2 linked regions of the Ovis aries genome follow. The protein of the gene in region 1 interacts with the protein of each later gene in a biochemical or structural test. Links are inferred from orthologs where the notes say so. Each region holds a gene or a part of one and is shown in the gene's direction. Other genes may lie near its edges.

Evidence for each region.
Region 2: of the proteins of PSRC1 (region 1) and ASB7, one has a biochemical effect on the other in vitro, tested with the Homo sapiens proteins (2 studies listed by BioGRID, with this or other methods). The link is inferred for Ovis aries from reciprocal best matches to the Homo sapiens genes PSRC1 and ASB7.

The regions. Positions count from the first base shown.
Region 1 is NC_056054.1:86,558,896-86,563,376, reverse strand, and holds the start of PSRC1 (proline/serine-rich coiled-coil protein 1), read left to right. Parts: upstream 1-1,455; 5' UTR 1,456-1,655; coding exon 1,656-2,043; exon of another isoform or gene 2,044-2,124; intron 2,125-2,430; coding exon 2,431-2,488; intron 2,489-2,564; coding exon of another isoform or gene 2,565-2,622; intron 2,623-3,049; coding exon 3,050-3,491; intron 3,492-3,832; coding exon 3,833-3,947; intron 3,948-4,044; coding exon 4,045-4,293; intron 4,294-4,481. UniProt on the Homo sapiens protein: Required for normal progression through mitosis. Required for normal congress of chromosomes at the metaphase plate, and for normal rate of chromosomal segregation during anaphase. Plays a role in the regulation of mitotic spindle dynamics.
Region 2 is NC_056071.1:5,429,160-5,433,412, reverse strand, and holds the start of ASB7 (ankyrin repeat and SOCS box protein 7), read left to right. Parts: upstream 1-1,277; 5' UTR 1,278-1,681; intron 1,682-1,834; 5' UTR 1,835-1,926; intron 1,927-4,253. Other genes in the region: LINS1 (protein Lines homolog 1), read right to left, coding at 769-928. UniProt on the Homo sapiens protein: Probable substrate-recognition component of a SCF-like ECS (Elongin-Cullin-SOCS-box protein) E3 ubiquitin-protein ligase complex which mediates the ubiquitination and subsequent proteasomal degradation of target proteins.

The DNA.
Region 1 (4,481 bases):
TTGCTTATTTCTCTACAACAGCTTTCAAAATCATAATTTGGTGATAGAAAATTGGAGATGAGTTTCCTTAGGAGGAATTAACTCCCAACTTTCTAAAACTGCTTCCTTCACTTACCTGAAGATGGGTGAAGAATTTCCTTACTCAGGCTGCTCCTAGGGGAAGAAGAAAGGCAGTTAATTAACAGCTTCTTTCCCTCTGATCTCCACTTTGCCACAACCTGCCTAGAGAGAAGGAAGCTACTGGCTTTGGTTTTCTTACCTCCAAAGAGTCTGAACCCTGCAAGCAACTAAATTTCCACCTTCACCAGGAACCCAAGGCAAAAGAGGCAGTCCTCTTGTCTCAGCTCTTTCTCACATAAACTTGCAAGTTCTGGGTCTCCCCATCCTTTCCCTTTATCACACTACTAAACTCCAAGGCTCCTTCCTTCCTGTGGCATTTATTACAATAACATCTCACTCTTGCAAACCTCACCACCTCAACTTTACAGCTAAACTCTGAGAAGTAAACAAAAAGTAGCCAAAATAGTGGTCATAAACTCTGGAGACTGGACATTCAGGCTCTTTGTTAATGGGAGAACTCTTTAACCATCTTTTGGGGACTTTTAATTTCAAAATTTTTAAATATTTCTGAGAAGCTCTATTAACGGATGGCCCAGTCTATTCACAGGCAACCCTTGGAAGCAACAAAGAAAATCCCTAACAAGTAGGCTTAAACTTTTTACAACACAGCTTTTAATTTAGAGGAAGCCAGTTACAAATATTACCCTCAAAAGCGCTTAAGGCACACGGTATAAAACTCGATATTCATAATTATTCTTGCAATGGCAGCCCACTCCAGTACTCTTGCCTGGCAAATCCCACGGACAGAGGAGCCTGGTAGGCTGCAGTCCATGGGGTCACTAAGAGTTGGACACGACTGAGCGACTTCACTTTCACTTTTCACTTTCATGCATTGGAGAAGGAAATGGCAACCCACTTCAGTGTTCTTGCCTGGAGAATTCCAGGGACGGGGGAGCCCAGTGGGCTGCCGTCTATGGGGTCGCACAGAGTAGGACACGACTGAAGTGACTTGGCAGCAGCAGCAACCATGTACTGAAAGCGCCTTCACTTTCACTGTTCCTTTCTTGCACTGGAGAAGGAAATGGCAAACTACTCCAGTGTTCTTGCCTGGAGAATCCCAGGGACGGGGGACCCTGATGGGCTGCTGTCTGTGGGGTCGCACAGAGTCGGACACGACTGAAGCGACTTAGCCCCAGCAGCAGCAGCAACCATGTACTGTGACGATCACAATCCTCTTAGATAAGCGAGATGTCAAATATAAGCTCAGAGAGGTCAAATGTACTCAATATTCTTATTAACAGGGGAGCCACGGTCGAATCTGAACCCAAATCTGCCTGTCTGAAAAGCTCATTGTTTTCTTCACACCGTGAATGGCTCAGGATCCGAATGTTTTTGCCCAAAAAGCCCGTGGAGATGCAATTCTTAGAGAACCTCAATATACTTAAAATATAAATGTTTAGTTGCTTCCGTAAATTTGGAAAAATGTTAACTGAGGGATCGGCTCACACGGCGCTTCCGAAAGGACTGAGCCTAAGAAAACGAATTTCCCCAAGCAGAGCATTAATTTCACTGCTTAAAAGCTCAGCTCTGAGCCGATGGAGAAGGAGGGGGCGGAGAAGAGAGTGCGGCAGGGAACGAGGCCCTCGCTCATAGGACAGTTCCCTCGCGCGCCGCCGCGAGGTCCAGACTGCTGGAGGGAATCCAAGCAAAATTTCCCGGGCACGAGCGCGCGCTCGCGGCCTCCCCGCCTTGGCCCTCCGGATGGAGTCTTTCACAGAACGGCTTTCCTCTCTGCCCCACCTGCAGACTTCCGGCCGACTGCCCCTCCGCCGCCCCGCCTCAGGAGGGCGTGGGGATGCTGGCCTCCACCAATCATTGAGCGCGTGTGGGGGGAGTGGGTGGGACCAGAGAGATTCGAAAGGAGCCCCGCCCCCTCGGAGCTGATTCCCGGGACTAGGTTGTGGAAGGAAAGCACCTTCCACGGTAGGTGAGGCGGCTCGGAAACTGAAAACTGACGGTGGCCTGTAGAAGTGGTGTGGATGCGGTGCTGCGGGGAGTAGAAAGGTGGCTTGGGGAGAAGAAGAACCCGGAGGATGGTGGCGGGGAGGAAGATGGGGCGCAGAGACCGCTCCAGCGAGAGGAGGTTGGGTCGCAGAGGGGCGGGGGCCAGTGTGTGGAGGGAGATGGGAGTGCGGGACATTCTGCCCGTACATGCCCGAGTGGTAGCAGAGGAAGTTTACAGGGGCAAGTCCTACTGCGGGGACGCTTGCTTTACCTTCACGATTATTCCCAACCCTTGGCTTGCACCCGGAGTCTAGCTGGGAGGCCTTGAGCAGGATGGAGACGTGAGGAAAGGTGTTTTCTCTCCAGCTCAGGTGTCTAAGCTGACTCTTTCCTGCTGTCTGGAACATGGAAGATTTAGAAGAAGGTAAGGAAACGCTGGAGGGAAGAATGGGACCATGTTGGGGACCCAAAGCTGGCATTCCTTCTTTCCTCCCCTACAGACGTAAAGTTTATAGCGGATGAGACCTTGGACTTTGGGGGGCTGTCACCATCAGACAGGTAGTAGACTCTTTATCCTGTTTACTTTTTTCTCACAATGATTGTTTCTAACCCCTTACTGCTGAATTATTGGCCTCAGGTCTGGATTGGTAATTTAGCAAGGTTGGGTGCACTGGGGCTTCTGGGTGGCTGGGTGACTAGGGCCCTGTGTCACTGCTGGGGATGGGGCGAGTAATAAGCTGGAATGAGATTTCAGGGTGTTAAGAAGAAGGTAAGTGGATTTGTGGCATCTTCACCCCGGCATAATTTCCAATGTCAGTAAGCATAGAAGGCCTCGTAGAACCAGATGTTTCATCACTTAGATCTCACGGCCAGTATGGGCTTCAGGGTTTGCATTTGTGTTCTTGGCTCTGCTGTGGGGGTTTTGCCCAGTCCCCCTTGCAGTCTTCTCCTGTGGGCGTGATGCCTGCTTTGTTTTCTGTCTCAGTCGAGAGGAAGAAGATGTAGCAGTGTTGGTGACTCCGGAGAAACCCCTCCGACGAGGCCTCTCCCATCGAAGTGACCCAAATGCAGTGGCCCCCACCCCCCCGGGTCTGAGGCTCAGCTTAGGCCCCCTCAGTCCAGAGAAGCTGGAAGAAATCCTCCATGAAGCCAACCGGCTGGCAGCTCAGCTGGAGCAGTGTGCCCTGCAGGAGCGGGAGAACACAGGCGAGAGCTCAGGGCCTCGAAGGGTGAAGCCCAGCCCTCGGCGGGAGACCTTTGTGCTCAAGGACAGTCCTGTCCGAGACCTGCTGCCCACCGTGAGCTCTTTGGCTCGGAGCACCCCCTCTCCAAGCAGCCTGACACCCCGACTCCGGAGCAGCGATAGGAAGGGGTCCGTCAGGGCTCTTCGAGCAACATCTGGAAAGAAGCCCTCCAGCGTGAAGAGGGTGAGTTGAGAGGGCTTGGCTTAGATGTGTGCCTCCGACACTGTGCATGACCCAGTACAGGCATTTTCCTTGTTGGTAAGATGGAGATAGTCAAATTCTACCTTGTAGAATTGTTGGAATTAAACAAGGTGCCATAAGCAAGGCACGTACCACAGCATCTGTGTATAAGCTCTGTAATAAGCTCTCAATAAATGGCGTTGGTGGTGACGCTGCTGTTGTTGGCAGCTAACTTCTGCCCTTCTTCCTGGGATCTACAAAACTCTCCACCTCTGTCCCTGAGTCAGCCAGCAGAACAGATTCTTTTTCCACTTTAGTCCTTTTTCTCCCTCTGTGTGTTTCAGGAGTCGCCCACGTGCAATCTGTTCCCTGCCTCCAAAAGCCCAGCATCTTCCCCTCTTGCCCGATCAACTCCTCCGGTCCGGGCAAAAGCCGGGCCCAGTGGGAGAGCGACAGCAAGTGAGAAGACCTGGGCAGTGAAGCTGTGGGTGGGTGGGGTGTAGGGAGTGGGAAGGATGTGGTGCAAACCCTGAAATTCCTCCACCCCTCTCACCAGGTCCACCTACCCCCGTCACACCAGTCTTGGCCCCACAGCCTCCTGCCGGCAACTCTCAGCGCCTGTCTCGGCCCCAGGGAGCAGCTGCTAAACCTTCCAGTCGACTGCCTGTTCCCTCGGCCGTTCCCAGGCCTGGCAACAGGATGCCACTCGCCAGCCGGAGTGTCCCATCCAGCAAAGGCGCCCCTCCTTCAGATTCCCTGTCAGCTCGGAAAGGACTTCCAAGACCAAGTGCAGCAGGGCACAGAGGTAAGGAAGAACAGACAAGAATAAGAAATCAGGACGAATAATATTTGCCCTTGCCCAGCATGCACGCACTCTCCCAGTTGGTGACAGCGACTCTTCCACCCTCATTATAGCTATGTCTGGAGGTGGGGAGACTGAGTTAAGGAGAGGATGTGGGCTTGAGCAAAGTGTTCAAGCCTTCGTTTTCGAAT
Region 2 (4,253 bases), on another chromosome or scaffold:
CCACAACCAACTTCATTATCAATCAGTTTCCCTGCTTGACTAGCTGGCCTTCTTTCTTGCAGTCCCTAGCAACGGCAAAGATTATTCCAGTCAGAGACTTTGGACTTTGATGTCTCTGCCTGCAAAATTCGCTCCCCCCGCCCCAGATCTTGGCATGGCTGAGTCTTCCTCACTCAGATGGCGAGTCAAATATCACTTCTTCAGAGACCCTTCCTAGCACAAAGAGCCATCACGTCCAAGCCAAGCTCGACCCCATCCCTATCTGGTAAATAATTTCCTATCTGTCAGTCTCTTTGCTAAAGCGAAAGCTCCACGAGGGCAAAGGATTACATATATCTTGATCGCTGTTGTCTCCCTGACGGCTAGGACACTGACTAGTTTAGGGTAAATACCTGGTAAGTGAAAAAACGCACTTAATAAACACGGCCATCTCCTACATTTTCCACTCTTTTCCCTTTCATTCGCAGGAATTCTCAAGGGCCGCTGTCCTCGCAGGAAAGCCCTGGAAGCGTCACCGCCAAGCCACAGCGTCCTCTTCCGCGTGAGGCGAGGCGTGCCCAGCCGGGAGCTAACGGCACCTCAGGCCCTGGAGCGCAGCCTAGGAGCCGGCGCTCGCGTCCGAAAAGCACCGAGGGCGGCGGGACGAGGAGAGCCTCCCCTCGCTTCCTGGGGACTGACACCTGCTCAGTCCTAAGCCCCGAAAACAGCCTCTCAACGGCCACACAGCCGCTTCTCCCGTCGCCGAGCGTAGCGACCTCTTCCAGTTACCTGCTGGAGATCCGCCCCAAGCCACGCCGCCTCCGCATTGCCGTTCGAGCAAGCGCCAGCCCCTTCCGGGCCACCGTAGTTCACAGAAAGTACAAGGCGCTGCCTTCTCCCGCATGCGCAGAGGTCCTGTTCGGTATATAGTGTTTCTTAGCAACCGCATGGAGTCCCTCCGCCAGGGGCGGAGCGTCGGGTGCCGCGAGGTGGAGGTGGGGGAGTGAATGTGGCCAATCAGAAGCGACTCCTAGCCTCGCTCGGCACGCCTCCTCTAACTGTCGCGAATACGCAGGCCGCTTTACGGCAGGCAAGGGGTGGGGGCCGCTGGGGTAAGGAGGAGAGAAGGAAGCAACCAACCAACCAAGTCGCCCCCACCCCCCCCCCCCCCACCCACCTCAGACCTGGTTTACGGCTCCGGGCTCCGGCTCCAGTGTGGCCGCTGATTGGCTGCTGAGGGCTAGGTCCCATCCCAGTGACCCCAAAGTGCTGGAGGGAGGGGGCGGGGGTGGCCCGGTGCAAAGTGCATCCCGAAAGCCCCCTGCCTGGCGCCCCGGCGGCCGGCACTCCGGGTTCCGTGAGAGCTGGGCCGTCGCCGCCCCGAGCCCTTCTGGGCCCCTCAGTGGCCGGGCGCTCCCAGCCAGGAGCGCGGCAGCCTGCTGCCCCGAGCGCTCGGACCGGGGCTGCCCCCCGCCCGCGCCGGGACTTCCTCCCTGCACCCCTGCCCCAGGCCGCCCGGCGGCCACCGCCGCCGCCTCCGCCCGGCCGGGCCATCTGGATGCTGGCAGGCTGGGGCCGGGAGGCGCCGCGGAGGAGCAGGGACAGCCGGGTCCGGCCCTGCCCGGGCTGTTTCCTCAATGGAGAAGTTGGTGAGTGTGGAGGCGGCTGGAAGAAGGAAGGGAGGCAGCAGCTGAGGAGACAGGTAAAAGTCGGTTACCCCCGCTGAGGGGAAAGGGCCGGCCCGGGACGGAGGGGAAGCCTGCCGCTTCCTGCTGGCCCGCCCCGCTCTCTGCCCCGGGGCCGGGGAGGACGGGGCCCCGGGGCTCTGCCCCGCTCACGGGTCTCTGATTTCCAGGTGTGAGCTGGCTGGGGGGCGAGCGACGGCAGGAGAGGGTCTGCCCACCCGCCTGAGCAGCCGCAGAGCTCTGACCAGCTTCCACCGTCAAGGTAAAGAGCCAGCCCTCCCCTCCCCCATTGTTTATTCCTGGCCCCTACCTCATTAATCGGTGCTTTCTTTTCTGAATAGTTACCTGGCAATGCATCCCTTTCCTGGCTTCTAGCTTTACAGCAAAAACAAAAACGCCGCCCGTGCCCCAGTCTTTAACATTTTAATAACTTCTCTTTCCCAGGACCTTGTTTTCCGCCTTTCCCTCTGAACAGTGTTTCCATGTGTTGCATTTATCTTTTGGTACGCTCCACCATTTACCCTCCTCAGAGACTTTGAGACCTTTTTGTAGCTCCCCCAGCCCCTCTTATTCTCATAGGAATTCCCCAATTCCTTATTAATTGCTTGTTAATTCTGGATGACTCTGCTTTTTAATTAAACCACAATTTTCTGTTTTCCCCTCTTCTTTGCTATCATTCGTCTACCTCCATCAGAATATCTTTTGAGTTACCTCACAAGAGTTCGTGAAGGAAGGTTTCAGTAATAGCTTCGAATTTGTGAGTTTCAGAAAATAACGTGATGTTTTTTCCTATAGCAAAAAGTGAATCTGTGTACCTTAATAATGTGGATGATATGAAAGCAATACTCTCCTGAAGCACTTATGTATAATTAACTCTTTGGGCTTTTGTGTGTTTCTGTGTGACAGATGTTGTAAGGGCTATGAAACTCTTATAAAAAGATAAATCATATTTGGTATATTTCAGATTTTCTAGTACTTACAAAACTTTATGCAATATCTTATCAATCATTTGACTCTCAGGAATTTAAAAGCAAAAGAATGTTTTGGTGTGTTTAGAATGTCGGGTTTTATTTTGGCACTTTTCATAAGATTTCTCATTTTGAAACCCTTATAGAGAATTTGTTAGATGGAAATTTAAGCATCTGTATTTTGTTGCCGCCTTTGAAAATGCACTAAAGGTAAGTTTAGGACATTCATGTAAGTCCTACAGAGGGGATATGAACAGGGAAATCATGTAAGAGTTAATTCAGAAATAAGCCAAGTGAATAACTTCTCTGACATCCAATAACAGGAGTATAAAGTCGCTTGTTAATCTCAGAGTTATTTTAATATCGCAGATTTTTTAGGGAATTTTACATGGAAAGAAGTGCTTAAAATAGCAAAAGTTGTTAGGAAATCTTTGACTTGGTCTCTTCCTCTGGACTTTCTGCCTTCCGGATAAAGAAATGAATCTCCTACCTGATTTTTCTAATTGTCAAGGTGCAGTACTTTTAAAGGGCTTTGAGGGTTTGCGTATTCTTGAGACCTGGAACTGGATACCAAAATGAGAATGTATGCTACTGAATGGGACTTAAAATCAGTACTGACTAATGACTATTCCACAGTGAACATTTAGGGCACCTTTTATATGTACACGTAGAGTGCATATATGGTCAGCCATGTCCGGCTCATTGCGACCTGATTGACTGCAGCCCACCAGGCTCCTCTGTCCATGAAATTTTCCAAGCAAGAATACTGGAGTGGATTGCCACTTCCTCCTCGAGGGGATCTTCCCCACCCAGGGATCGAGCCCACATCTCTTGTGTGTCCTGTATTGGCAAGCAGATTCTTCACCAACTGGGAACCTGGGAAGCTCCCTCTGTACATGTAGGGTTCACTGCATTTCAGTAAAAGCTAGGTAGAAGGCAATTTTCATTATTTAAATATGTGAATCACCGGAGATATGCCTAATGATTACTTTACACCTTTTAAAAAATTGCTAGAATATTTAAAGCATGTTTTTAAGGTAAAGATAAATTATGTATATTTTCTATTCAGGCCTTCTCAGTTAAATATTTTTCTGCTTTAGATTGAACTCTAGCATGTTTTCATTTCTGAGGGGTTTTATCACCTGTGCTGAGTCAAGTATGTAAGGTAAAGAGAGAACACTACTTTCCTCTCTGTTCATTCTAATTTCTTAACTAATTCATTGATCCTCTCAGCTTTTAGTGGTTTTTCTAAGATTATGGAGTATATATAAATTGTCAACATCTGTTCCTAACATTAGCATGATTGAGAGTATTTGGTCTAGATTATGCCAAACATTTAATGCGAATACTGTATTACCAAAAAAGCCTGTTGGCTGATTTATATTCTTCAGTCTGGTAGTTAACTTTGTGTTAATTCTATTGTCAGTCACATGGTTTTGAAAAGAAAAAAAAACAAAACACCCAGCTTTCTTGGTAACCAAGTAAGATATATGAGCCCATAGGGAGAATCACTGATTTTTAATTGAAGTGATGCATTTTGAGTATGCTGTGGCCAGTACTTACTGTCTTCATACCTAAAGTGATGCCATTCACAATTATATTATGACACATAAAATACCGC